4 linked regions of the Alligator mississippiensis genome follow. The protein of the gene in region 3 interacts with the protein of the main gene of each other region in a biochemical or structural test. Links are inferred from orthologs where the notes say so. Each region holds a gene or a part of one and is shown on either strand. Other genes may lie near its edges.

Region 1 (7,741 bases), on a different chromosome or scaffold from region 3:
AGTGAGGAGTGGTGACCCTAGTTCAAATCCCAAGCTATGTTTTTTACTTGGCTTTTCTCCTGATAAAGTATGGGAGGAACACTGCAAACAGTTGTTCCATAAGAAGGGATAGCAGTTTTAAAAAATGTGAAAGGCTGCACTAACCTAAGAGGGATAAAAAGTGTTCTCCATTGTCACAGAGGGCAGGACACAAGACAGTGGGTTTATTGCAGCAAAGCAGTTTTAAATTAAATCTTAGAAAAAAGGCTTCCTAAAAGTAAGAAACAAAGGAAAACAGAACAAGCTGTCTAGGAAAGCTACGTAAACTCCTGCATTGGAGGTTTTTCATTAAGAGGCTAGATAGACATTTGTCTGGGGTGGTTTAGAAATAAACATACCCAGCATCTATGCAGAGGGTTGGATGAGGGGATTCATGGGGTCCCTTCCAACCCTATGGTTTTATGTTGATGCCTCACGTATAGCTCCAAATTTTTCAACTCAGCCCTAATTCTCTAGCTTTGAGACAGATAACAAAATAACCCTCAATTTTATAGATGTGGTGCCTCATCTGATTCAGTATGAGAAGGAGAGATTGTACAATGTGAAATCAAAGAAAAGAACTAAAAGCCATTATGTTTCATGTAGACCAAAAGAAAATAAGGAGCAGAAGAAAGAACTACAAAACAGACCAGGGCTGGGATTGGTCTAAGGAGCCTATGGGAGTTAGGTATGAAGCTTCCCCCGAATTTCAATAGGAACTTAATACCCAACTCACAGACTGCCTTGTAAATTCCTGTCTGTATTTAAGATGTCATACCTTCAGTACTGAAGCTCCGCACAATGTTGGATGCAGGGATGGAAGACTTGTCCATGGCATATCTGTTGTACAAATCAATCATGAATTGCGGTGGTTCTTCTTTGGTCCTCTCTTGTGAAGGAACCCTAGATAAGTTCAAACTCCTCAGTAAATCTGCCTTCATGTTCTCCAGTAGGCTTCTAAAATTGAGATGCGTCTCACCTTCCATCTCTCCCAGCTCACCAAAGTATATATCAGAATCCTCCGTAACTGATAACTTGCTTCTTTCTTCCAAGGGTTTGCCTCTTGTCAAACAAGCAATGATGTTGAAAATGGACAATGCAGCAAATGTCCCCAAATAGTTCATTTTCCCTATGCTCACTTTCCAATGGTGAAGAAAAGACAGGGCTATTCCAGTTGACTGGAACTCGTCTGATTAGAGCCAGAAGAAAGGGAAACAGAAGGCAAACAACTGAAATGCCCTTTGCAAATCACTTTCTTGAGCTCTTTTGCAGCCTGCTTCAAACCACAGCCTCTTGTCAGTTGTCAAGCAGATTGGTTGTACACTTGCCCTTATCTTAGCCATTGATGCCATGCTTCAGCTTCTGTTATCTAGCAAAGCTCTTAGTTAATGAAGATTCTATAAACATCTGACAAACACATATGGCTTATGGGAAGGACACTGCATACTGTAAAGAATCCACATTTCACTTCAGGGTCATCATTGCTTAATTATGTTTTTTATCATTTCCTTGCCAACAGGGAGAGGTCTAAAGAGAAGCATTTTGGGGGTGGAGAATAAAATTGTGTTTCCCTAAGGAACTACAAAAGCTGAAAAGAGGGGTGGGGGTTAAGAACAAAATGTTTCATTAGCAGTTAGCAAACATTGCCCTCAGATATTTACCCCAGTCCCTTAATTTATTGATCCAAAATCACTCTTCTGGTAGAACTCTGTGCTCTTGCAACACATGATCTCACAACATTGCACACAACCTTAAAATTTCCTTCTTTTTATCAGCTGAGAGCTATTATTTGTACACAGTGAAATATCTGTTTTGTATCAAGTTTGCTTCAAGTTGTTTGTAGATTTTCTATTTTCAGTGTGCATCCTTTGATGCATGGAGAAAAACAGTGTGACTTTATAGCACGTTATGTAATGTATTTTCTTAGATTCATGCACACGAGGTTGGCTAAGTTGGTCCAAGAACAACCAGTTATTGCCTAAGTGATCTCAAAGTGAAGATAAAACTCAGCCTACTAAACCAATGTAGAAAGTAAATGGTTTCTATGACTGTAACGAAGATTATCCATGGATGTTATTGTTTTCCATATAGATCTGGGCCAAAGTAAAAGAAGTGAGATTCGTTAGTTGTGTTTTTTGTATCTCAGGAAGTTAAACTAGTTATCTATATAGCATATTATGATTTGATATTTAATTTGATTGAACTTAACCATCCTAAATGATCTAATCTAATATTATACAACCAGTTTACTTAAACTGCCTTTGTATGATTTTTTAAAGTAGAAATTAACCTGTAGCATGCGTGGATGCCATACCATCTCATTGATACTAGGAGAGCTCAAAACACCTACGCAAAATTACCGCTAAATTTTATCCCTAGTCATTCTTTTCCAGTTTTTTAGCAAAGCATTAGGGGTATGTGAAATGGGCTGTATTCTATTTGGATTGGCCCGAATCAGGACAGTGATTCAATTCGTTAATTCGGATCACTGTCCCCAATTTGGCCGAATCTGAATCTGAAGATTTGATGCTGATTCGGAGAATCTACGATTTGGACATAGACACAGCTTTAAATGTTTTTTCTACAGACCTCAAGGTACCAGGTGGCTCATCAATGCTGCAATGGTTGGGCAGATGGAGCATCCCACAGGAGCACAGGGGTCCCCCACGTGCTCGGCAGCAAACCTGGAAGTGGACCGGAAATGCTTCTGGTCCACTTCCGGGTCTGCCAGGGAGCACGCTGGGGGCCCCCCCTGCACTCCCCATCTCGGCAATCAGTCACGGGGGGACCCTCCAGACTCAGGAGGCACCAGTTGCTGAGCCAAGCGGGAGCATGGGGTGGGGGTGGGAGGGGGAGGCAGCATCTCCCCAGTGGATCTGGAAGTGGACTGGAAGTCCTTCTGGTCCACTTCCGGGTCTACTGCTGAGCACTCTGGGGACCCCCCTGCACTCCTGTGGGATGCTCCATCTGCCCCACCATCACAGTGCTGATGAGCCGCCTGGTACCTTGAGGTCTGTAGAAAAAACATTTAAAGCTGTGTCTATGTCCAAATCTCTGAATCTTTCTGAATCTGTCCGAATCGATTCGGAGGGTTCCGATTTGATTCAGAGAGATTAAAGGGTCTCCTGATTAAATTTGGATTTGAAGATTTGGCCACCGAATCGGGCCAAAACTCCACCAAACTGAATCAGGGGCTGAAGCTTCACACAACCCTACAGAGCATATCTTCCTTTACTCTGCTTTTATCTGATTTGTCACAGGACACTAAGGTGCCCTGCTCCTAGAAGAGCAGGAAAAGCAGGAACTGCCTGGGGAGAGCCCAAAGAGCCAGGCAGGAGCCCAGATGCAGGTTGCCATGGCAACCGGCTAAGGTGGAAATTAGTCAGCACCTGTACCTGGTCAGCTGGCAGGAAGGGGCAGGGCCTTAGGCCCATATAAACCCAGGCTGAAACTAAGGGAGGCAGTTCTCTGCTGGTGGCTAAGGGGGAAGGAGCCCTCTTAGAATGAGAAAGGAAAGAGGCCTGACTAACCTCTGCTCTGGGTAATGGTAAAGGGGCAGAGCACACCTTTGGTAGCCTATGTTAAGTTATAGCTCAGGGGCTTATGTTTTGTTTGTAGTTTTATAAGACCGGTGGTTTGGGTGAGGCTATTTGGGGAAGAAGGAGGCCTCACTGGGGGCCCACTACAGAGTGGAGACCCTGGTGCCAGAGAGGGCGCAGCATTTGGTGGGGGCACAGACTCCAGCGCCAGAGAGGGCATGGCATTTGGGGTGCACAGACTCCAGCGCCAGAGAGGGTGCGGTATTTGGGGTGCACAGACCCCAGCGCTGGAGAGAGCGTGGCATTTAGGGCGCGGAGACCCTGACACCAGAGAGAGTGCAGCATTTGCTGGGGGCACAGACCCCGGCGCCAGAGACGGCGTGGCATTTGGGGGTGCAGAAACCCCGGCACCAGAGGCGCGGCTTTTGGGGGTGCAGAGACCCCGGTGCCAGAAAGGGCGTGGCATTTGGGGTGCAGAGACCCTGGCGCCAGAGAGGGTGCAGAGACAGGGCTGCGGAGAGCCCAATGTGGACAAGGGACCAAATTATAATGAGGCCAAGGCAAGACAATGCCAGCACCATCTGTGAGGCTTAGGGCATGGTAAAAGGGCAGTTGGAGCCATGCATATAGCCCATAAGGCTAGGGTGCCCCGAAACACCCATTGTGGAACGAGACCCACAAGGGATCTGGGAACCCACAGGGTTCAGTAAGTCCATCAAACCGTGTCCAAGAGGACTTAAAGGCAGCTTCCCTATTTTCATATTTTTCATCAAAGACGTGGAGTGAGAACTGAGGGTGCCCATCGGGCCACATTGGCATGGTCAAGGGGCTTTAGGAGAACACGGCCATCCTTAAGGACCCCATCCCGTGACATGATTCTTCTCCAGTGACATGCAAATCTTGTTTTCTGGACTTGTAGTTTTTAAGGCCAGATGTGACATGAGCTCATCAAGTCTAACCTCTCATTTAGCACAGGGAATAACATTTCAGTGACGTTGCCCCCTGTATTAAGCCAAGTAAATTATGTCCGAATAAAACATAACTTGTTTTTGGCTAAGGCACATCTTTCCAAAAGGCATCTAATCTTGAGTTAAGAGATGGAGAATCCATCACTTCCTTAGGGATTTTGTTCCACTGGGTGATTGTCATTACTTAAAAAAAAATTGTGCCTACTTTAAAATTTAAATTTGTCTTGCTTCAACTTTTAGCCTTTGATCTTGTTATGCCTTTCTGTATTATATTAAAACACCTTTTCATGCATGGTATTTTCTTGTCATTAGGGTACTTACATAATAAATAAGTCACCTCATAGACTTTTTTTCTGATTGAATTCTCTTGGCATGTCTACACATGCAATTAATGCGACTGAATAAACTTTGGTACAATTTGAGCTGGAGTAAGCTAATCCTGACATCACCATCTACACATGCACATAAGCACAGTAATTTATTCCACCTTCAGATAGTACTTGTGTCAGATGGGACTATCTGAGAGTGTAGTAAATAAATCTACATTGACCTAACTGCCACACGTGTAGATGGTGATGTTTTACTGAGCACGTTTAGAGGCACCCTCTGAGTCTCTCTCTGTAAGGTGATTTCTCCACCCATCAAATAATTTTTGTTGCTCTTTTCTATATTGTCTCCAGTGGTTCAATATCCTTTTTAACATGTGGACACTAGTTCAGTATACAGTATTCTAGTGTTCATCCACCAGTGCGGTATACAGAAGTAAAATTACCTCCCAGCTCCTACTCACTATTCACCTGTTTGTATTTAGCAATAACATCACTCTTTTTGCCATTGATTTACCTTCAAAGTGCATGTTAAACTTAGATCATACTAAGGACACTTAAAAAGTGAGCATCCACATGTTAAAACTCATTAATTCTAGTTAAGTGCCTTCTGAGCATCTCAACATTATGCCACTTCAGGAGAGGGTTAACTCTGGCCCATGCTACTTAGAAAAATTTAGGGTAAATTCAGTCTGCTCCACAGAGATAAAATGAGTCCTCTAGCATCCCAGGATGCACTGCTGCCTTGCATCCTCAGAACGGGGATAGACCCCAGGTGTCTTGGCTCTCATGGCCCTGCTCACCAGCCCTCCAGTGTCAAGTCAGAGTTATGCAGGCAAGGAACAGTATTAACTCATAATGTGTAACTGCTTACAGCACATTCTGTTTTTAAAATTGGTTAACATTCCACAGATTTAGTATGGTCTAAATGTAATGTATAACTTCAGCCTAGGCCTGATGTAGCCTTTTGTTCAGAGGTTCTATGAAAATATATTTCCCAGTGAAGTCAATAGGAGTAGATTATATTAGAATCAGCTTCTGGAGAAAGTATTTCCCTGATACAGGCTCTTTCTTATGCTCCATCTCCAAACTACCCCCTTCCCACTGCAATAACTGAAACACCACATTCTAGGGCAAGCCTTCTAAATGCCAAGTGATTTTGGACTCCAAACTTTACACAACTTATGGATCCTGGTTTTCATAGGATGTGTTCTAGACACTGGCTCAAGAACAGGCCCCTTTTAAAGTATCTCAGGTAAGATAACCACACATTAAAGTTCCTTAAATCAATCATTGCTTTTGAAAAATCTTGGCCTAGGCCTTTTCTGCACTATAAAATTGACTGGTATAGCTTTATTGACAGAAAACCTTCCCAGTCTTCCAAGCAGAGACTCAGATTATAGCAGGAAAAATGTCCTTTCGCTGATATGTCTCATTCTGTTTCCTTAAATGAAATAAGTTATACCAGCAAAAGAACTCTTTTGCCTACATAAGCTGTGTCTCCATTAGAAAGGTTTGCAAGCACAGCTGCATCAGTCTGAGGTGTGATTTTTTTTTCTGCAATCTAGCTGACAGCTATGCCAGCAAAAATTTTAAGTGTTGACCATGTTCTTTAAAGTACCCTCGCTGTGTACAGAAGAGGGACTTTTACCTACAAACATATTGAATCAAAGATTTGTGTTTCCTTCTCCTAGTCACCTGCATCATCATGACTTGGAAAGCAAGTCTGTGACCAAGGAACAGTTCAGGATGTAAAATAGGCTCCCTAAGGAAAACAAAATGTAATAGACCAGAACATAAATACACTAGACCAACGTGTCATTCTAGCCAGATGTTAAATGGGAACAAGGCCATGTCTGTGGGAAAAGATGAGTATTTGTTTAGGACAGTATAGGCAATGGTTTAATATATTTTTTTTAAATTGCAAAAAAGGTCTACACTCTAAGCTGTAACTCAGGTATAGCTATTGCATCATATATTATGGGTCTGGTTCTCGTCTTGTTTACACTTATGTAACTCCATCAACTTTAATGAAATTCTTCCATATTTATAACAGTGAAAAAAGAATCAGACCCTATCGGCACCAAAGAATGCATGAGATGCTCATGTTAAGCAAAATGCTTTTGTTTTTAACCTTCTATTTTAAGGTGAGTGGTTTGACTCTCCATAAGATTAACATACTATTTTTTAATATTGCTAACAACACTTATATGAAGTATGATAGTGTTATTACCACCATTTTACAGGTAGAGAGTGGAGGCACATAAAAGCTAGGACCATAAAAGGAGCTAGGTGTCTAAAATGTGATTTAGGTGAGTCTTGATATGTGAGTCTAAAACTTAGAACCTCAAAGCATTTGCTCAGCTGTCACCGAACCCTGGAATCACTTATATTCTAGATGTAGAGAACTAAAGTTCAGGTACTTAAAGTTCTGCTTCTGGACATGCCCTGAAGCAGTTTTATCATGATGGGACTGAACAGTTCAGCACTTGGCCCACCTAAGCCATATCAAGATTCCCAAACTAGGCAGCAATTTTCAACCAGGGTGCTGTGACTTTATGCTTGATACAGAAGTTACTGGGTGAGGTTCTTTGGCCTGTATTATGCAAGAGGTCAGACTAGATGATCATAGTAGTCCCTTCTGGCTTTAATCTATAAATTATATTGTGACAAGCATAGCCTGGACATTCCAAATAAGATAGCATTGCTTTTCCTCTAATTAACAGAATACAACAATGTGTATTTATAGAAAGACATTTCAACTATTTTTAAATACTACTGTACCTTAATTTATTAGCTTTTGTTAAAAGCAACCTAAAGGATATAAAGTATAATTTACAAAAATATAAATCTTGGTTATTTTTTAGTATTTAAACATATTACTATATAG
Region 2 (6,852 bases), on a different chromosome or scaffold from region 3:
AGCAGGTGGGATTGAGGCCCCCATAAGGAGGGAGTTGGGCAGGGCTGGGGCTGCTGCCCAGATGGGCAGCACATGGGGCTTGGGACCTGGGGCCGCAATGTGCAGCTGCAGGGTCCTGGGGGGGGAGTGGAACAGAGCCGTGGGTGACTCGTCTGGTGGGCACGGGGTGGGACTAACTCCCCGCTGCTGTGCACACTCCCAGGGGGCAGGGGGAACCCATGCCCCCCAGATCTGTGCGCAGGATAGGGGCACAGGCTGCCCACTGTAGGCTTGGGCTCCTACCCTGCTGCCCTCCCCTGGGGCCTCCACAGCCTGGTGGCTGCAACCTGGTGCTGCAGGGAAGAGCAGGAAAGCTACTTGCAGTTGTGAGCCCTAGCAAGGTGTCCCCTGTGTGGATGGTGGCATGGGGTTGTGCCCTCACTGCTGCCACGCACGCAGGGGATGCCTCACTAGGGCTGCGCAGAGCTCACAGCTGCAAGCAGCTTTCCTGCACGGCCCCACGCTGCCCTGCAGAGCTGGGTCGCACCCACTGGGATGCAGAGACCCCAGGGGAGGGCAGCAGGGTGGGGAGCCTGTGCCTGCCTCCACCCCGCACACAGATGTGGGGGCATGGGTCCCCTCTGCCCCCCCCCCCCCAGGAGCACACAGCAGTGGGGAGCTGGACCCCACTCCCACCCAAGCCTGTAGCAGCCTACACATAACTTGGGTTCTGTGCTCTGCTCTGCTGCAGCAGGTGCCACCTCCTCCTGGAGGCAGGGGGCTGTGGACTTGGGTCTCTGGCCCCGTAGCCCTGGCAGCTGGGGGCCCCCTCCAGCAGGGCCAGAGGGGAGGGAGTGAGGGGCTTAAGCAGGGCCAAAGGGGGTGGGGGGGGAAGGCGTGTGAGGGTCCTTTCATTTTAATCACGGATTTTGGGTTTTTTACCAGAGAATTTATGATTTTTATCAGAGAAACCTAGGATCCCTAGTAATAAGAAACATGACTAAACAAGGGTATTAGTATGTTATTAGCATCTACTCCTCCACAGCAACCAGACTGTTTGTAATTAAATCCCATTTGAGTTTCCCTTCTAAAGTGGATCAGTGACCACCTTGGCACTGCTGGGGCAGTGGTCTAGAGGTCCCATCCAGTTCATGAGAAAATTCATGCTGATTTCACTGAAAACAGCATTAGGCTCATTGCCCAACTTGAGTAAGGTTAACATCTGACCCCTGTGAGTGCTTACCTGACCAATAAGAAGAGGAATGGAACTTCATTTTTTCTTGGTGGGATATGTGCATGCACTATACTAGCTCATTCTCCACAAACAGAAGAATTGTGCCACAGAGTCTCAGGTAATGGCTATGCTGAAGTCACAGAAGCTATTTAGCCTAATTAGCTGGTTCTGAATTTCTTTAGTTAGGTTGCTAACAGGAGCCATGCTAGCTCAGGTGTCTTTATACTACTTTAAGTACTTTTGTGACTGCAGTTTAGACATACCCTCAGCTCTCCCCTTATTACATATAAGGCTGCTGTTTTTATATAGAAAGTCTTTTTTTGATACACTGAAAAGCAAAGAAATCATCACTGTCTTTAGCACATCTTATGCCTGTGGAACTGTTTAATATATAATAAAATGCAAGTTTATCAACTATTGTAATTTAATTATGTAAAAGCTTAAGGGATGGATCTCTAAAGTATTTATACACTTAAAGTTAAAGATAAGAACCTTGCTGGATTTTCAGAAGTACCAAGATTTATTAGTCCCATTGGAAGTCAGGTACCTAGTAGGTAAACAGTAGTGAGATTTTCAGAAGCACTTATCCGCCTATTTAGACACCTAAAACCTTTGAAAATCTGCCCCTAAATGCATTGGTTGATAAGTATACAAACATCCACATCTGTTTCCAGGTGAATTTTATACGATTTTAAACTGAAAAGACAAAATTGCCTCTGAGTTATGTAAATCTGATTACATTTAAATCAGTCAAGCTATTTGCCTTTAATACATTACCATTATTTTGTAAGTAACTTTATGGATATACAAATGCATACACACAGCTGTGTGAACACTTATGCATTTCTTTCATTAATACACATATACTTACACCTTAGCTTCTTTCTTACCTTGTCCTTTATCTATAAAGCTTGTTATTGTATTGGCGAGTCCAGCCTCCAATTTTACACTTCCATTAACATCTTTTCTCTCTGCATCTGAGAGAGTCCTGTACAGGGAAAGCATGTATTCATGAGGTGTGATAGGGGGGTGTCTGAAAGTCTCTTTAGATTCCCTTTGTGTTAGAGGCTCTTTAGTCTTCTTGGTTTTGTAAGAACTGGCATCAGTATTGCGGGTGCCAGTTTTTTTAAGTGAGGCCTTGCTGCCAACATTCTGAATCTTTGGAGTCACTGTCCTTACTCCAGATGGTCTGTTAGGGGAATGTCCTACCTTTGTGTCTGTAGTCCCTGCTCTAGAGAGAATCTTCTTTGGTTCATCCTTCTTAGACAGGAGAGCTCCAGCTTGAACAGTATTGCTTTTACTTCTAGCCTTTGATGTCCCAGCACTGTATCCATGGGTTCCAGTCCTAAAGGTACCTGCCCTTGATAAGGGATTCCTTTCTTTTCCTTCTGCTTTTAGCAATCCTAATTTGGATCCAGGATTACTCTGACCTGCTTCAGAATTACTCAACACTACAGAAACTAAATCCAGATATAACCAAGTCAAATGCCAAAGCAATAAAGTGAGAAAGTGCAAGATTTTCATCCTCTGGTCTTCCTTTGAATGCCACTAAAGAAAAAATCAGAAAAGGTTCCTCCAGTTTGGCAGAAGAAAACATGAAAAAAATTTAAAAAAACTGTCAGGAGAAATAGCTGTCTTTTAAGTTTAAAACACTTTAAATCTGTTTCTCTAATATCTGTATCCAGTCCCATAGTGGAAATGCACATTTAGTCAGGTATGTTTCTCCCCTGGCTTCAGTTAGCAACTAAAAAGAACTTGTTCTTGAAAAGTGAAAGTGTACCTCCCCTTTTCTTCTGTAAAACTGACTGAAAACTTGAAGGAGTCTTGTTTAAATCTAAGGGGCTTTTTTTCCAAAAAGGAAGAATGGCGTAATGCTGCCTCTGTGCTAAAAGTTTTTTTTTTACGTTTTGAATCCTTTCCAGTGAAAATATTTCACACAGAAACCTGCAGGTGCTCAGAAATCTTTTACAAACCTGAACTCAGGAATTGGAAACGGAATTCTAACAAAAACCTATTTAATTACTCTCTGATGTCATGCTGTCTAAACTAATTTAACTGCAATATATTTCTTTAAAAAATCTTCTTTACCCTTTCCATTAGCATGAGTCATACCTTGCCTCATGTGAAACAACTCTGTAGGATCAACACTCCAGAGGATGCCATTTAGTGGCAATACGACCTCTACCTTAGCCTTAGATGAACTTCATATTCAAACAGGACAAATTGTAAGATCAACAGTATGAATCTTTTACAGAGTCCCTTGGAATAAATACATTAAAACATCTTATGATTCATAAGAGATGTTTAAAACCATTCTGAGTTGGAATCTTTTCCTAAGAATTGGAATAGTGACTTCACTTTGCCTTTTGGCGATGGAAGGACTTTGCCAACAAAGGTAATTTTTAAAACAAGGATAAAGTTTAATTTCATACATATACAACACATACATTCATACTAGTTTTAGGGGCATTAATTGCTATGCTGTTCAAAAGTAAAGCTAATTCCAGTTTGGTGCAAATATTTGAACAAATAAACTGAAGCTCCATTAAATACAGAGGGAATGTTTCCTTTTGCTTTTGTCTCACAGACGGCATCCCCGTGCCTCTTTAGCTTGCCCCAGCTGTGTAATATATTTCCTGAAACAGAACCTATCAAACAAATTCTTCCAGTGTTAAGCAGCAGTGTCCCCTGCAGGAGAACTAGAGTTCTGTCAAGCTAAAGCACTGAGGGAGCCAGAGAGACCAGATTCTAAAATCCAAATTTCATATTTTAAATGATTTAATATAAATGTGTTCTTTTTATTTAAAAAGTTTTAAAGGTTTAAAACCATCGCTTTAAAGGTTTTAAAGATTCATGTACACAATACAACCCCACAGAAATAGCATGTGATGTATTTGTTGATGCTTACAAATGAAAATTATCCTACATGTTAAAGTCCACAGGCAATTAAATATAAAAGATAATGCAAACAAGATAGAGCAAACAAATCTCTCCCGTAAGCTACAGAAAATTAACTCTTATTTTTCTAACTGAACCCTCGGAATGCAGGGACAGGCTCGGATCAATTAAAAATCGATTGGACCCCTCACCCTTCCCAGACTGAAGCTGAACTCAGTCTCAAAAAACTTAATTTCAACTGTTCCTGAGGCTAAGAAGTGCCATCATTTTTGGATATTTTTGTTTTATTTTTCACACATACCTGTACTTTCAGCTTGGAACTAGGACCAGGAACAGAAATCCTGAAATACCCTAGCAAATAATGTCCTGCCAATATTAGCTCTTTCAAACTGAGGGTCTCAGAGCACTTTGCAAATGGAAGTACCATTATCTGCACAGATTATGAATCTGAGCCTCAGGAAAAGGTTCAGTGACTTGCATTGTCATATTGAAGGTAGCTTTTCCAAACCACTTGGCATTGGCTTAATTTTACTCCCAATTACAGTTTTATTATTGGTTTCACCAGGAACATAGTCTCACAAGTTAGTAAAAGGATCTGGATTGGAGTTCACTTGAACAGAAGCATAGACCTCTGGCAGCTCAAATGGAAGCTCTGTATATCAAAGCAGAAATGCTAGTTTTCTAAAGAAAAGTAAAGACAATGTAAAGACAATATTTATATAGTTACACATTTAATTAATTTGAAAGGGCTCCCTTGGTTCTTGGATATAGCACACAATTCACAACAGAAAATTAATATTGCCAAAAAATGGCAAAATACTAAATGAATCCAGTCACTCCCCACTCCTCACCTACTTTCATCTGGCAGCGAATGTTTTACCTACTCAACAGAGAGAAAAAGAGCAAAATATCTAGGGGCAAAGGAACAAAAGGGCTTATAAGTGCCTTCTGAAGAGAGTCTCATTTGACTAGCTTGGAGATTCTACTGTCACTACATAGTTGTCCCCCTACAATCCCCAGACCATGTGTCTTACTGCTTCCTGGATGAGATTCCTGACTTCTGGCACACTGTCATCTATGGACCATTGGCTAGACATTGGCTCCTAGGCATTTGGTCTAACTGAACTTTGACTAATGCTTTGGTCTCTAAGCATTGTGCCCCTTAATGGCTACCTTTGACCTTTGTTCTGTGGCCTGCAGCTCCAGAATCATGCTCCCAGGTCCGTTTTACACTACCAGCAGCTGCCCTGTTTGATTAAGAACATGTCAGAAATGTCAGCACATCAGCTTTTACAACACTAAAAAAAGTATCCCTTCAGCCCCCTCCCTACAATCCATCACCCTACTTGTCTGAAGACCCCTATGTAAACTCTCTGAATGAAAGACTGGAACAATATTCATTGCTGAACCTACAGGAACTGAAGTATAGCCTTTTTCTAGTGAACTAGGACCCAAATAAGTCTGCCCTTCCAAATCTCCAATATGAAGAGCCAACATGCAGGGATTCCAGGTCACAAGAGCAGATGGACAGTGTAATGCATCCAGTGTCTGCTAATACTTGAACTAAAACATCAGCAATCTAGGAAACGGAAGGTAGCAGCCTAAATGTCTAACAGGGTCTGCTGTCCTCAGAACCAACACCCTCAAAACTTGGATCTGGAAGAGACTCTCGCTGAAACCTGGCCTAGAATAGCTACCATCCTATGTTTAAACTACAGAGCATCCAGAAAGACTGGGCTGAGAATTAGCCAGAAAGAAAGGCAACATTGCCTTCAGGGGACTGCAAAATGTTTAGAGGGAACAGACACAAATAGACACTGGTTCTTGAGTAGTGAGGTAGTGGCCCTGAATATTGGTGGGGAGGGTGTTAGTCTGTCAAAGGGTGGCAGGCCACTTAAGGAGAGTTGGGTGTAGCCTCATCTGTCTGTGATCAGCTACATCCTTGCTGAGACTGCCTCCATTGGCTGAACTGGGAGGAGTTGAGGAGGAATGCTGGAGCCAGGGTTGCCAGCTGTCTGTAAAAAAAGTCAGGCTATAAATGCCTGCCTCTCAAGTCTATAAATAAATATGAGCCATCTCTAAAAACACAAAGCTACCACAAGTCTGCTTGACTAAAGCTCCCCCTTGGAAAGAAGCTGGACAGCGAGAGCTTGACTGAAAGACTGACAGGGTAGAGCAATGCCTCCTGTTATCTGAGTGGTAGCATAGCACCCTGCAGGAAGCCAGTTGTCAGGGTTGTGTAGATCACACCGCCGGCCCCCCACCTCTAGCCACATGCTGCTGCCACTGTGTCTCATCCTGTAATGCTACTGGGTTGCAGGTAGGCTTCATTGTGGGCCTGTGCCAGCACAGGGAAAGCAGGACCACCAGGGATAAGATGGGGGGGGAGGGGTAGGCTGGGGGAAGCAGCATTATGCAGGGTGTGTGGGTGGAGGTAGCATGGTATAAACCATTGGTTTAATCAAGCAGTGTTGCCAACCCAAGATTTTTTTTTACTAGAAACTTTTCACTGACAACCAAACTTTATTTTTTTTTTTACTAAGGTTGGTGTTAAACCCTAAATTTGAACCCAGCTCTTCTAACTGAAGTTTTGTAAGCAAGGTAGGGCGTAGTAGAAGAGTTACATTTACATTACACAAAATATGTCAGTGAAAACGTGACAGTAAAAAAGTTTCGTCAGTAAAAAGTTTGCAAATTGTCACTAAAAATGTTCTTGGGTTAGCAATATTTACTGGGAGTAA
Region 3 (6,990 bases):
CAGCGTAATTGAGTCTCAAGGTTTTCAAATGTTCAGCATAAAGAAAATCCCTATCCACCATATTTCCTGGATTCTGTACAGATTGTAAATTAATCCTTTATTTTTAATGACACTATAATATTTTCCTTTACACTCCCCATGCATAGTCAAAAAGGAAAGGATGTTACAAAAGATGCCTACATATTTTTTCAGTATTAGTCCTGTTAACTTAAAATCATACATTCAGGTTTCCCGCCCAGAGTGCATTGCTTCATGACTATCAATACTGAATTTACCCTGCCACTGAGTTAGCCTTTCCTATATGAGATGCAGAAGCATGTTAATTGAGGATCTCAAATCTGCACAGGGTTAAACTGTTGCACCTATACATGAATTACAGTTTTACTTCAGAGGATAAAAGGGTTCGTTCATGTACATAAATGGGCAGAATTTCACCTTAAAGTGGTTTCCCATGTATCAGTATTTTTCCTTAATATTCACAGTTAAAACTTACAATCAAACTTTCAAAAAATTACTTTAGCCCAGTCTCAAAAACATTAGCAACCATCAATTGTGAACAAAACATTTAAAGCCCAGGTTGGATGCATATTTTTAATAAATTCATAATGTAAAAGCAAATCCCTAGTCATACATATCACAAGATGACTAAAAATACTGGCTTTGCTATTGTTTCTTTACAAGACATACCCAAGTTAGAAATAGCAAGAATGTTCTTAACGGGTGAAAACCGAGGTCAATTGGCAAAATGGACTGAGTAGGCTTATATGCAGTAGGTGCCCATTGCCTGCCTAGCTCAAATCAGTGCTCACTCCTTCAATAATCCTTCACGCCCATCAGCACAAAGAAATATCAACCTGCTGAAGTTTTACTGACTAATTAAATAAAACACTACACTTCAACTTTCATGTTTAAGGGACAAGTTTAGATAATGTGATATTCTAGGGTCATACATACATATTCATACCAAAGCTTTTGACCTTCCAAGATCCATTCTTCAAAGAAATCCTCTTAAATTACTACACAGACACTGTATATATATATATATATATATATCCTTCTGTAATATCAATGATGCAGTCAAAGGTCATGCTGATGCAGGCAAATGTTGCCTACTTACAATTCAGTTCACTAGTTCCCTCAAGATCTTTAAAAAAAAGAGAAGTGAAATGAACGCGGACTATCCACAATGGAGAAACTGATAAAAATGTGACCGATTCACAGAGTGACTGGTTTGAACATTGAAAAAAAACAAACAAACAAAAAAAACACCTCAAACTTAAAACTACTCATGTGAAAAGTTGTGTGCAACTATCCTAATCTTATTGTTTTCACAAGAAAAATTATTCTTTGTGCGTGTGACTAAGATACACAGCCGACTAAAGAATCATGCTGAAAAGACTGGGTATTCTAAACTGGCTTTTGAATATAAGGACAGATATCGCGGTGCCACGAGTCTTCCAAAGCTGCCGAAAGAGCATACACAAGGGAGGAATATGCATTAGTACTTAATAAAAGCTGAAAAACCCTTCAGAGAAGAGCTCCTCCATTCTCAGCCGATACAACGACCAAAAGCCAACAAGGCCAGAGCCATATCAACTGCTTTTCTGAATTCATAGAAAACTCTTCTTTCTATTCCTCTAAACCTTAGCTTCAAAAAAAATGAAAAAGGATTCAACTGCTTGAAATAAAGAAAACGACGCTTCCAAATCATTAGGCATTTCGATTGCTATAAAGTAAATCTTTCATGCACTGTATTCACACACCTTGCAGCTTCCTCACCAGCTTTCTGTTTTATCGCCCTGTGATCGCAGGTAACAATGAAAAATTTTCACTTGGGTTTCAAACACCCAGGAGAAAAGGCGCGGTGGACTAGCAGATATCCCTAAAAATGCACCCGCCCTTGTAGATGTAATGCCTCTCAAATCACAGAGGCTGTTAAAATTAAAAATGGCTGTGCCCAAAGATCCCACCAGCAAGCACGCACAGCTCTGCTGGCAATAGGCTTTTTCTTTTTTCTTAGATGTGTTCCTATGTCACACATCACCAAGGACGAGGCTTTCAGAATAAAAAGGCTGTATTTCCTCTCCCCCCATGACACGAAAAAGCCATTCAGCCAACAACAGACAAAGTGAAATAAAGCCCAGCTGAGGGGTGGGTCCAGGTAGACAATGAAGCCCGTTTTCTCCTCCAAGGGGGTCTGGTCTGCAGCTGAGCATTTGAGGGCATGGGGGCATGTGGTGCGGGCAGGGGGATGCTGTAGCAGGGCCCCCTGCCGCTTTGAAGCCCTGGGGGACCCCACGCCCTTCCCCGTCCCAAAATGGCTAGCTGCCCGCGCCCAGGGGCTACTTACCAGCCGCACTGCCGAGCAGCGCCGTGGCACCGGAGAGCCAGAGCAGCAGCAGGAGGCGCCGCAGTGAGGCCGGCATCCCGGGGGCAGAGGCAGGAGGCAGCGCAGGAGAAGGAAAACGCGGATCGATGCAGCCGGTGGAGGGTCCCCTCCCAGTCTCCGGGCAGCGCTTCACGCGCCCGGCTGGCAAGGCAAATGGCAGCCGCCAGGAGCCGCCTGCCTTGCTGCTCCCGCCCGCATGGCTGCGGCGCCGGCTTCTCGCGCAGCCCCGCGCCTCAGCCTGTCAGCCCGTGCCCGCGAGGCGGCGGCGGCGGCTCGGCGACGCGCCCCCCTCGCGACAGCGGCTCTGCATCCCCCCCCGGCCCGGCCCGAGCTCCGTGCGCGGCCCCTCAGGCGCCGGCCCGGCCCCGCGGCGGCATCGCGGCCCGGCAGCCGCGCGGGAGGGAGCGGGCGCGGTGCGGCGGGTCGCGGGCAGCGCCAGGCCCGGGGCCCTGTCCCGCCTCCTCCGTTGGCAGCTGCCCCCGCTCAGCCCCGCCGCATCGCCCGGAGCCCCGGGGGAGGGGGCCACAGGCGTCGCCCCTCGCACGGAGCCGCTCCGAGCCCGGCCCAGACACAAAGGAGAGCCACGGGGAACTGCCTGTCTGAGCGCAACGGCCGCGGGGAGCCGCCTGGCCCCGCCTCCGGCCCCGCCCCCTCAGCCTGCCGGGTCTCGTGCCTCGCCCTCCCCCGCCGGATCATAGAGGTGGCCTCCAGGTGCGTAGAGAAGGGCTACGTCGAGTGGCACCGCCCCTTTCCCCTCCCCGTGCCGGTGTGCCGGAGGTTTGCGCGCGCCGCCCGCACCTCCATGTTGGGGACAATCGCGCTGTTGCCAGACCGCGGCCTGGGCGGGAGCTGCGTGGGAGGGCGCCTAGACAGCGGGCGGCGGCTGCCAGCAGCATCGCTTCCCCCCCCCCCCCCCCGCGCCTTAAAAGAGCCGTATGGAAAAGTGCGGCTGCTTTTTCCAGCGGAGCTGCCGCCTGGATTGGAATCTAATCATGATCGTGTCGGGCGATGGTCACACGTGCATTGTTGCTACAGGGGGAGAGTGTGGGGAGCCCCCGCGAAACCCCCGCCGGAGACTCCCCTCCCGCCGCGGGGAGAAGGGAAAAGCCAGGCCGGGTTTCTTCAGAAGCCAAGCCCCCAGGAAAAGATGTTACTTAAAATCTCCTGTTCCTCGCCCATCCTGCACAAGCACCGATAGAGCAACACCCCTTGCTCGGCCCCTGGCGCCGATGCTTCTCACCCAGGGGGTCGCAGCACCCTGGGGTGCCCAGAGATCCTTTCAGGGGTGCCATCGTGCCATGTCACGTTAGTGCTGGCATACACACAGGGTTTGCAAGATCAACCCAGAAACTTAAAATAGGAATCCGTGGCATCACCACCACTGTGCCCTGCTGTGGGCTTCTTGAGATCTTTGCAACAGAAGAATTGCTCTTGCATTGTTCTGTAGTCACAAAACAGGTGAAAACTAAGCACTGGCATTTTCTGAGGGATGCTTCAAGTCTAAAAACATTGAGAACCACTGCCTTGAACGCTGCCTCAGCTTTCAACCTTTAGTGCTGGCCTCCACCACCTTTGAAGACCTCCCCTTCTCCTTATCTGGGAACAGCAGTGTTTCTTGTCACATTCCCACTGCCAACGCTCTTTTCTTAGTATTCTATTTCTTACTCCTCTGTTTCCCTTGAAGGGGGGTTCACAAGAGGATGTTAAACTGTTCTCAGTGGTGGCAGATGACAGAACAAAGAGTAACCGTCTCAAGTTGCAGGAAGAGAAGTTTAGGTTGGATATTAGGGAAAAAAAATCTCACTAGGAGGGTAGTAAAACAGTGGAACAGGTTACCCAGAAAGGTGGTAGAGACTCCATCCTTGGAGGTTTTTAAGACCTGGCTAGACAAAGCTTTGGCTGGGATGATCTAAGTGGCGCTGGTCCTGCTTTGAGTAGGGGTTGGGCTAGATGACCTCCTGAGGTCCCTTCCAACCCTCATTTTCTATGATTCTTCCTTGCTGCTCCATCTCTGCATTAATGATGTTCCCCACCAGTTCACTGCATTGGCACCACTTTTTAGTCACTATTAAAAATATTTCCATGATGCATAGAAGTCAAGAGTATGATTTCAAGATAAAAAAGCCAAGCCAAACTTCTTTTGTTTTTTCCTATCTCTGCATATCCCTGTGTACTCTGGTTACAATTCATTTTTTGTCTGTGGGGTAGTGTTGCCCTTTCAACTCCAAATTAACTAATCATCACATTATTTCATAGTTTTCACCATTAATAATAAAAAGAAACATTAAATGCTATATACATTTATTTCACATTATATGTGCATTTAGAAATAATTAAATTAGATCATAGATATGAAGGAAATTCAGACAGAGTCCAGATTTCAGATGAAACCAGTGTACTCCCATATTTTTGGGACTAGCAACAGATCAAGCAGACAGGCAGCAGAGAAAACCACAAGAGTATTCCACAGAAACCAACAGCCAAACCAGTGCCACACTAAAGATATAGGTCATCTTATTGTGCATACCTGAAAAGAATAACAATTTCTGGTGCCATTTCTAGTAGAACTGGGATTGAAATGTAGAGGTCTAAATTAAAATTAGACCTCTATATTAGACCTTCTAAATTAATTTGACAGGGAATGGTACAAAAAGCCCCTTAAAAATATACTGTGCACAGGTGAGGCCTCCCTGTAATTGTTTGAATACCTGTCCAGTCTCAAGATTTATGTAACATACACTGAGGCCAAAATATGTTGAATTAAAAAATGGACTAAAGCCATTTTTGCCCTCCAGCCATTTCTATTTCATGTTCAAGGATTTCGGAACTGAGAGATATAGATCCCCAGCCCAATCTAATACCTTAAGTCTTACAGAAATATCCTTATGCAAAAATGCTGCTTCTTTGCTGTATGTACAAATTCAGAATGGAATCCCCTGATTTTAGTGATAATAAATTTGTAACTATTTCTTTTCACTCCTCATACCCCACAGAACCCAGCAGAGATAAGACTGAATGGACTGGATCTGGCTCATATGTTAATCAACAGAATTGTTATTGAGAGAAGTTGTGGCATCTCCACCACTGGAAGTTTTTAAAAGCAGGTTAAACCAGTGATTCTCAGCCAGCTCACCATGACACCCCGGGTTGATTTAAGATCCTTTCAAGAGTGTTGCAGAGTGCCAGGCAACATTCACACTGCTAGGTTTGCACACCATTCACAAGATATTCACAGAGATTTCAAATAGGAATTCATAGTGTTAAAAATATTTTGATCCGTTGTGGTCTGAATTCTTCGCAACAGAAAAAAACTGCTCTATTATTTTTCTGTAATCAGAAAAACAAGTGAAAACTAAGAGCTACATTTTCTTAGGGGTGTATTGAGTCTAGTGAGTGGTGTCTTGAGTCTGAAAAAGTTGAGAACTACTGGTTTAGACAAACACGTGGCTGATCTGCCTCAGAAAGGGGTGATCCTGTCTTGTGTGGGGAGTTGGATTAGATGACCTCCTGGGTTCCGTTATACCCATTTTTCCAGTTCTAAGCTCCAATTGTTTCTTTGTTGGCAAGACACATGCCAACAACATAGGCTGATTTTCCTATTTCAAGCTTGCATGGCTGACAATTAGAAAAACAAAAAATTCAATTTTTACTTCTCAGCTGACCATATCCAATATTCTCTCTCACTTCCACACAAACAAAACTTGAGATTGTCATCTTATTGTCACTTTTCAGAGCCATAACCACACATTAACCACAAAAGCATCCTTCCTCTTATTTCAACTGCTAAGAAATAACCTAAACAAAACAGTTTTATCTTCAAGAAAGGGGGAAAATATAAACTATTTTAAAGGGACAAAAATGCCATGTTCTTTTTTAGTTTAGCAAAGGCACCTAACTACACAGCATGCCTTCCACCCCACTATATCAACCAATAAAACAGCAGATAGCTCCATCCTGCTCACTAAAACAATTAACTCAGTAGTATGGTTTGCATAGCACATTTTTTGCTTAGATAGTTAAAATATATATATAAAATGTATATTGAAAGAGTAGGTCCTGAACCTGGTGCTGTTCAAGTAAATCACAAAAATGTCATTGATTTTAAGGGTTGCAGGATACCCATAAGCAATTGTATAAACAATGTTTCTGGCCTGGGATGTTTATTTTTCCTGTGATTTTGTATCTAATCTTCAGGAAAAAATAGAGGGGGTTTATTTTGTTTAGTTTAGTTTTGGTTTGTTTTTTATAAATAATAAATATTATTTTATGCAATGAAAAGCATCAGTTTGACCAAACTGACAGGAGGCCTGGGACAGGTGTTTAAGACAGGACTGCCTTGGTGAAAATAGGATATATGGTCACCCTATACACAACCCATTTTGCAAATGTGTAACAGTTTATGGACAAGGTTGATCTTTGTCCAATTTGCCCAATGTGTCTACATGAGGGAACACAGTGCTGCCTTACCAGCCTGCACAGCTTACCTAGATCACACAGCACAGGGGGTAAAACATTTAAAGTTGCTGATCCCTCAGTTTCTGTGACTGGGGAGTAGGTAGACAAGGCCGGGGGCCAGCATGGAGTGAGCCTTGATTCCACCA
Region 4 (7,083 bases), on a different chromosome or scaffold from region 3:
CTCGGAAGATCATCGGGTCCAGCCCCTGCACCAAGCAGGCTGGGATCAGACATTACTACTGTATGCACAATCACCAGGGAGGGCCCAGGGGCTTCTGTGCAGATCCTTTTCCAGATTGGAAAAAAAAGAAAAGCAAAGTGGGGGGTCACTCGGTTGCCTCTGCAGAAAAAGTCAACACATACTGGTAGCATGCAGCACTGCACTGCAATTTGCTCAGCGATCAGCCTCGAGACTCCTCAGATATTGATAGGAAATGTTTTTTAGCAGGGTTGGCAGGTGTATTTGTATGGACGAACCTGTCATCTGATCAGCCTCCTTCGCAGAGTGAAACCCCAACAGTCTCCCGGGTCGATCTCCGGGAAAAGCTGTCAGTCCGGCCCCGCGGTGTGTCCAGGTGCGGGCGGTCCTTGGAAGGCAGCTCAGCGTGGGCCGAGGGGAAAAGGCCGTGCACAAAAAGGCCAGGCCAGCTCTATTGCAGCTTGCAGGCAGGTATGTGGCCAGTCACCTCATCTGAGCCTATTTAAATGGGCTGAATCCAGGGGCCAAAATAAGCCGTCTGCACTGGCCTGTTGACAGCCCTCTGCACTGGCACTCGCTGCTTTGGTCTGGATATGCATCACGTTTGCATGGGCCAAATTCATCCCAGGTGCAACTCCACGCTGACATCAGAGGGAGTGACATCAGGATGCGTTTGCCTCCTTGGGCTCGAGGAAGCGCTATTTTGGCAGGAAAATATTCCAACCCCCTCAGTAAAAGGTACACTGTCTCCATCCAGGGTTATTCTTTTTGTGGTTTGGGGTTTATGTATTTACATCTTAAGGAATCAAGTACTGGGTTAAGCAGCAAAGCTTTCCCCGTGACTCATGCTCTTTAATAACTAATAAGCGGCTCCAGCACACCAGGACTGCTCACAAGGGCCTGTGCCACACCGGCCTCGGCTGGATTGCTATCCCAGAGCGGCCTTCCTCTTACACAGCGTTGCATAAGATCGGTGTAACCCTTTGCAAGGTGGTTAAGAGAGGGCAGCTCGCTAGCGGGGGATGCAAGGTGCTCTGGAAGGGGATGAAATTGCTAGGGGAGAAACGCTCCGACGAAACGTGGAAATGGGGTGTTCGTCACCAATGTGAGCGAGGTTTCCAGGCACAGGGGGTGGAACATCGGAGCTCGGCTCCCTCGTGCCATAGCTGTTGTGGGTCGGTTGCTTTTCCCGATCTGGAGGACTGTGTTAAAAGCCGGACACTTACATAAACGTTGTTTATAGACTGGAAAACCGTCAACGAAAATGTTATTTCACTCGAGGAAGGTGCACAGTGGCCCCTTGGAAATTGTTTTCTGTTGTTAAACCCCCCCCCCCCCCCCAAAAAAAAGCAGTGTCCAGCATGGTATAGTTGAAATGGTTATAGCAGTATTTTTCCCCGTGTTGATTAATTCATAGACCAAATACCTTGCTAACAGATGTTTCTCTTAAACTTATGCTGGTTTAAGAATAACTCAATGTCAGCACTGCCTTTATCTGCATATGCCTTTCCAGTAACATTCACAGGCATTTATAAGGCACGGGCTGCGTAGAAACAAAAGAAAGCTGAATGCAAAAAACCGAACGGATTTTACCCAGAGCTTCATCTCAGATGCCAGAAGTGATTGGGGCACCATGCCTGCACAAGTTTGGGGGTTTTTTTTTCCCAGATGTGTTGGTTGGCAGTGGGCATTTTTGATCCTGTTTTTATGGTTAATTTATAACACCTAGCCATGAAAGACCCGAACCATAACACAGCAGAAAGTCCCTCTGACTCCAGAGATGGGAATGAATGTGTGATACCTATGCATGTGCAATACAAGAGAGCAGTACAGCCGCACCGGGGTTAGCTCTCAGCTGACCTAGAGTAGCAAGACCAAGGTGTCTGGAGAGGAAATCACCCAGGATCACTTCTTTGGCCATGTTTCTGGGTCTTGCAGTTGGCAGACTTTTTTTCATCCTGTGTGAGAAACAATGTCAGAACTGCCATTTCCTGGGTCAGGCAAATTTGGGTGGGTTGGGTCCATCTCGCCCTGGCTCTTGTCACGCAAGGGCAGAGAGTGGATGCTGGAAGGATGAGAGAATTGGGTATGAGCAGGGTTTTTTTTCTTCCCCTCTATTCCTCTCTCTCAGCCTCCAGCATTTAAGGTCTAAGAAGTTTTGATGGCGCGTGAGGTGATATTCCTGAGGGGACGCAGAGCAGCAGTGCCTTAGAGAACGCCGTAGGTAGAGTTTCCGTCACGGCTACCTGGATGTGCCTCTCCGCGGAGGTGTGCGAGCATCTGCCAGCTCTCCGCTTCGGGAGCTGCACTCTCCCTCCCCTGCTCCTCCGTCACCTCCAGCAACCGAAGCTGCGGGTTAATTATAGATGGGTCCCAACCAAAAGCTCACACGCGAACAGCCTCGAACGCCGGGGAAGGTGCGATGCGAGTGTGCAGTGTGTGTCTGGCTGTGTCTGGGACGAGCTGGAGCGCAGCTCTTCAGACCCAGGCACCCCCAGTCTTTGGAAAAGGTTGGCTCAGGATTGAAGTCTGGCGTATGGACCCCTAGCCGGCCCTCTGCCCAGGCATGCCAAGTTAGCAGTTACGGTCATGGGGAAACATAGATACCCACATCCCCATGGCCCTAGCTCTGGAGGGCTGCTTCCCCGGCCTGTCCACATGCCTGTGGACTCTTAAAGCGCCACTGGGCTCCATCACTAGATTTTGGGGGACGACTAAAGAGAAAACAGTGAAGGCACAGACGCATGATGAGTGCGGCCAAGCAGCGCCCACGACCCCTCCAACGTGGCCAAGGAGCACAGCAAAACTTTTTTTTTTTGCAAAATATACCTGTACCTCTAACCACCCATCCAGCGATCCCTCTGGTGCACTCGCCAGACCAAAACACACTTGACACTTTATTTATTTTTTTTGCAAAAGTATTTAATTCTGCATATCTTTATTCCTAATATATATATATATAACTGTACCTGTCACAACCCATCAAGTGACCCATCTGGTGCACTTGCCAGACCAAAGCACACTTGAAACTTTTTCTTTTTGCAAAAATATTTATTTCTCTATATATTTATTTCTAATTGTACCTCTAACAACCTGTCAAGGGACCCCTCTGGTTCACCTGGCAGACCAAAACACACACCGACAGTCCCTGCAGTCCCGTTGCACAGTCCGCCCCCGGCCACCCACCCCTCCCCATGCCCCTGCTATAGTTCCTGGTCCTTGCAGAGGGTTTGCCTCTGCCCAAGCCCATGCCCCGCTCCTCTGCCCCCTATAAGCTCTGCCATTTCTTTCTGTCGTAGCAGAGCGGAGCGGGCAGAGGAAAGCGGCTTGGCGGGGGGCAGGGTTGCCAACTCTGAAGCTACGCCAGGAGGTTTTTTTCATCACATGCCATTAACGACTCGACATCGGGAAGGCAAACGCACGCGCCTACAGGCAGTCCTCGGACTTCCGACACAACGGCTTCCCGAAACCCCCCCGTCTTAAATCGAAACGTTGTCGCTCGGAACCGATTTTCTCATAAGAAACAATGTTACAAATGGAGGATTGGTTCCTGAACCAAGGCCCCGATACCGTTTTCACCCAAAATACTCTTTTGTACTCAGTCCCTTACAGACGAGGCGTATCGCTACAGTCATGTATGTCTACTGCAAACAGCAGTCGTATGGATTTGGAAGGACTTCTTGGAGCTGACTTGGCTGGACTTTCCGAAGGGCTGGAGTCTTGTCGGGAGTGCCGGCCGCAGGTTTCTCCGGCAGGCTGGTCCGAGGGCGCTGGGACAGCCGTCCTGCGGGGAGGCGGGCGGGCGGGCGGGCGGCGGGCGCTGTCAAGCCGCAGCGGAGGTCAGAAAGTGGCTGGAGCGCGGAGAGCTGCAACTTGAAACGTCGCAAGTCGAGGACTGTGTTTGAAACCCCCCCAAAAGCGCGCACACACACGCGCGCACACACACACCCCCGCGCACAGCACAGCGCAGCGCAGCGCAGCGCAGCGCAGCGCCCCGCCGGGGCAGCGTGCCGGGGTCGCGGGCGGGCGGGCGGGCGCGACGGGGCGGCCGCGGAGAAGCCCCGGGGCGGGGCGGGCCGGGGCGGGGACGGGGCCGGGCCGGGCGCTGATGGACGGCGCCGGGCTTCACGTGACTGCGGGGCTGGAAGAAAAACAGAGGCTGTCCGCGGGGGAGCCGCAGTCCCGAGTCCCGGCCGCTCGCCCGCCCGCCCCGTCGCGGCCCCGGCGCCGGCCCCGCGCCTTCCCAGCCGCCCGCTCCGCCCTGGCCGTCGAGAATCATGGACTGTTTCCCCATGCCTTGCTCCCTGGCCGTGAGTAGCCCCGGGCCCCTGCCCCCCGCCGCCCCTGCCCCTGCCCCCGCGGGCGTCGGGGCCGCGTCTAACCCGCGCCTCTTCTCTCCCCGCCGCCGGCCGCAGAGGCACCATGACCGCTGGTAACCGCGCGCTGATGGTCCTGCTGTTTTGCCAAGCGCTGCTCGGGGGCGCCAGCCATGCCAGCCTGACCCCCGAGCCGGGCCGCAGGCAGCCCGCGTCCGGAGCCGCGCCGGGGCCGCGGGGGGCGGCCAGCCATGCGCTCTTGCGGGGCTTCGAGGCCACGCTGCTGCAGATGTTCGGGCTGCGAAGGCGGCCCCAGCCCGGCCCCGCCGCCGTCGTGCCCGCCTACATGCTGGACCTCTACCGCCTGCAGGCGGGCGAGGACGAGGACGAGGACCGGGACCGGGACCGGGACCCGCACCGGGGCGCCCGCCTGCGCTACCCCGAGAGGTCGGCCAGCCGCGCCAACACCGTGAGGAGCTTCCACCACGAAGGTCAGTGCCCCCCGGGACTCGCCGCCTGCTCGCCCGCCTCCAGCCGGCTCCTCCGCAGCTTTGGGGAGCCCCCGGGGTGTCCTGGCTCCTAACCCAGGTCCCAGCGCCTCCAGCGGGGCTTGCAGGGAACCCCCTGGGCTGTCCCAGCTCCTAACCTAGTGCCTCCAGCGGGCTCTTGTGAGGAGTCCCCCCAGGCTGTCTCAGCTCCTAACACAGCACCTCAAATGGGCTCTCCCGGGGCTTGCAGGGAGCCCCCCAGGCTGTCCCAGCTCCTAACCCAGGACCCAGCACTTCAAATGGGCTTCTAACCCGGGACCCAATGCCTCAAACAGGCTGTCCCGGGGCTTGCAGGGAGTCCTCCGGGCTTTCCCGGCTCCTCACCCAGGACCCAGCACCTCAAGCGGGCTCCTCCAGGGCTTGCGGGGAGCCCTCCTGGCTCCCAAACCCATGTCCCCCCTGGCTATCCAGCTGGTACTTGCCTGATCCCAGCCCTCCCCAGACTGTGGGTTTGCAGCTAGGGAAGCCGGTCCCTGCCTGTGTTTTTTGCCCTTTAAAAAAAAATAAAAAAAATCAGGACTTGAATGTAATCCTTACAGCTGCGCGTTTGTAAGGTTGGTTCAATGGGGCCTTGTAATCCGATCCAAATGTTTCCTAGCGGATGTTTCTTTTCCAAAGTAAATCTGCGTTATTAATCCGCCAGCATCATTACGGACTTCAAACTTACTTTCTTTCCCCCCACCCCCCAGTAATGGGTTCAACAAGGCAGCGCTCTGTGGGGTTTTCTCTCTCCTCCCTGCTGTGATGGCACAGCCTTTGAGAGAGATCCTTAAGAGGGGGGGTTGGAGAGCAGTTTTCAAAAAACTTTAAAACTGAGCTGCTTGAAAAGCTAAGCAGCAGGGTCCAGTGCTGTTAACTAGGGTTTTGGAGCGAGTTGTGCATGTGTGTCTTGTGTCTGTGTGTGTCCAGGCAGGACGGGGGGGATAGTGCCACCCTGGGTCTTTGGCAGTGCAGTTTTCTGGGCGTGGGGGGTAAACCGTAGCTCTCAGCCAGCAAGGCTCAGAGCCCGAGTGGCCGGGTGACTTGTATTTTTGACTTGGGGGATTGATCTAGATACCCAGAGGTTTACGTGCTTTGCTCTTTTGCCCCCCTTGCTTTCCCCCTGCCCCCCCCAGAGCATTTGGAGAACCTCTCCGGGCCCAGCGCCGCCCCCCGCCTTCGCTTCGTCTTCAACCTCAGCAGCGTGCCCGACAACGAAGTGGTCTCTTCGGCGGAGCTGAGGCTGTACCGGGAGCAGGTCTGGGAGCAGAGCCCCGGCTGGGAGAGGGGCTTCCACCGCATCAACGTTTACGAAGTCATGAAGCCCCTTTCCGAGGAGCGGGGGCAAATGATCACGAGACTACTGGACACGCGGCTGGTGCATCACAACGAGACGCGGTGGGAGAGCTTCGACGTGAGCCCCGCCGTCATCCGGTGGACCAAGGACAAGCAGCCCAATCACGGCCTGGCGGTGGAGGTGGTCCACCTCGGCCAGACGCCCGCGCATCAGGGCAAACACGTCAGGATTAGCCGATCTTTACCTCAAGGGGACGGGGACTGGGCTCAGCTGCGGCCCCTGCTGGTGACTTTCAGCCACGATGGCAAGGGCCACGCGCTGGTGCGGAGAGCCAAACGCAGCCCCAAGCACCAGCGGCCCCGCAAGAACAAAAAGAACTGCCGGCGCCACGCGCTCTATGTGGATTTCAGCGACGTGGGCTGGAACGACTGGATCGTGGCCCCGCCTGGGTACCAGGCCTTTTACTGCCACGGGGACTGCCCCTTCCCTCTGGCCGACCACCTGAACTCCACCAACCACGCCATCGTGCAGACCCTGGTCAACTCCGTCAACGCCAGCATCCCCAAGGCGTGCTGCGTGCCCACCGAGCTCAGCGCCATCTCCATGCTCTACCTAGATGAGTATGACAAAGTGGTCCTGAAAAACTACCAGGAGATGGTGGTGGAGGGGTGCGGGTGCCGCTGACCCCCTCGCCTTCCCTCCCCCACCCCCCTCTCCCTTCCTTCCCTGCCCTCCTCCCCGGACCCCAGAACTGCTCGTTCCAGCCAGACTCTAAACTAAACGTTCACCTTGACCTTATTTATGACTTTTATGTGCAAATGTTTTGACAATAATGATCATATATTTTGACAAAATATATTTATAACTACATATTAAATGAAAAAAAAATAAAATGAGTCATTATTTTAAAGGTAAACGCACTTGG

What was found.
Region 1: the proteins of BMPR2 (region 3) and GDF2 form a complex in vitro, tested with the Homo sapiens proteins (2 studies listed by BioGRID). The link is inferred for Alligator mississippiensis from reciprocal best matches to the Homo sapiens genes BMPR2 and GDF2.
Region 2: the proteins of BMPR2 (region 3) and GDF5 form a complex in vitro, tested with the Homo sapiens proteins (2 studies listed by BioGRID and IntAct, with this or other methods). The link is inferred for Alligator mississippiensis from reciprocal best matches to the Homo sapiens genes BMPR2 and GDF5.
Region 4: the proteins of BMPR2 (region 3) and BMP4 form a complex in vitro, tested with the Homo sapiens proteins (2 studies listed by BioGRID). The link is inferred for Alligator mississippiensis from reciprocal best matches to the Homo sapiens genes BMPR2 and BMP4.

What each region holds. Positions count from the first base shown.
Region 1 is NC_081829.1:20,541,659-20,549,399, forward strand, and holds the start of GDF2 (growth/differentiation factor 2), read right to left. Parts: upstream 3,019-7,741; 5' UTR 1,143-3,018; coding exon 797-1,142; intron 1-796. UniProt on the Homo sapiens protein: Potent circulating inhibitor of angiogenesis. Signals through the type I activin receptor ACVRL1 but not other Alks. Signaling through SMAD1 in endothelial cells requires TGF-beta coreceptor endoglin/ENG.
Region 2 is NC_081832.1:37,892,149-37,899,000, reverse strand, and holds the start of GDF5 (growth/differentiation factor 5), read right to left. Parts: upstream 3,012-6,852; 5' UTR 2,738-3,011; coding exon 2,104-2,737; intron 1-2,103. UniProt on the Homo sapiens protein: Growth factor involved in bone and cartilage formation. During cartilage development regulates differentiation of chondrogenic tissue through two pathways.
Region 3 is NC_081827.1:171,408,484-171,415,473, reverse strand, and holds the start of BMPR2 (bone morphogenetic protein receptor type-2), read right to left. Parts: upstream 3,009-6,990; 5' UTR 2,427-3,008; coding exon 2,351-2,426; intron 1-2,350. UniProt on the Homo sapiens protein: On ligand binding, forms a receptor complex consisting of two type II and two type I transmembrane serine/threonine kinases.
Region 4 is NC_081825.1:300,000,493-300,007,575, forward strand, and holds BMP4 (bone morphogenetic protein 4), read left to right. Parts: upstream 1-4,062; 5' UTR 4,063-4,440; coding exon 4,441-4,825; intron 4,826-5,997; coding exon 5,998-6,842; 3' UTR 6,843-7,074; downstream 7,075-7,083.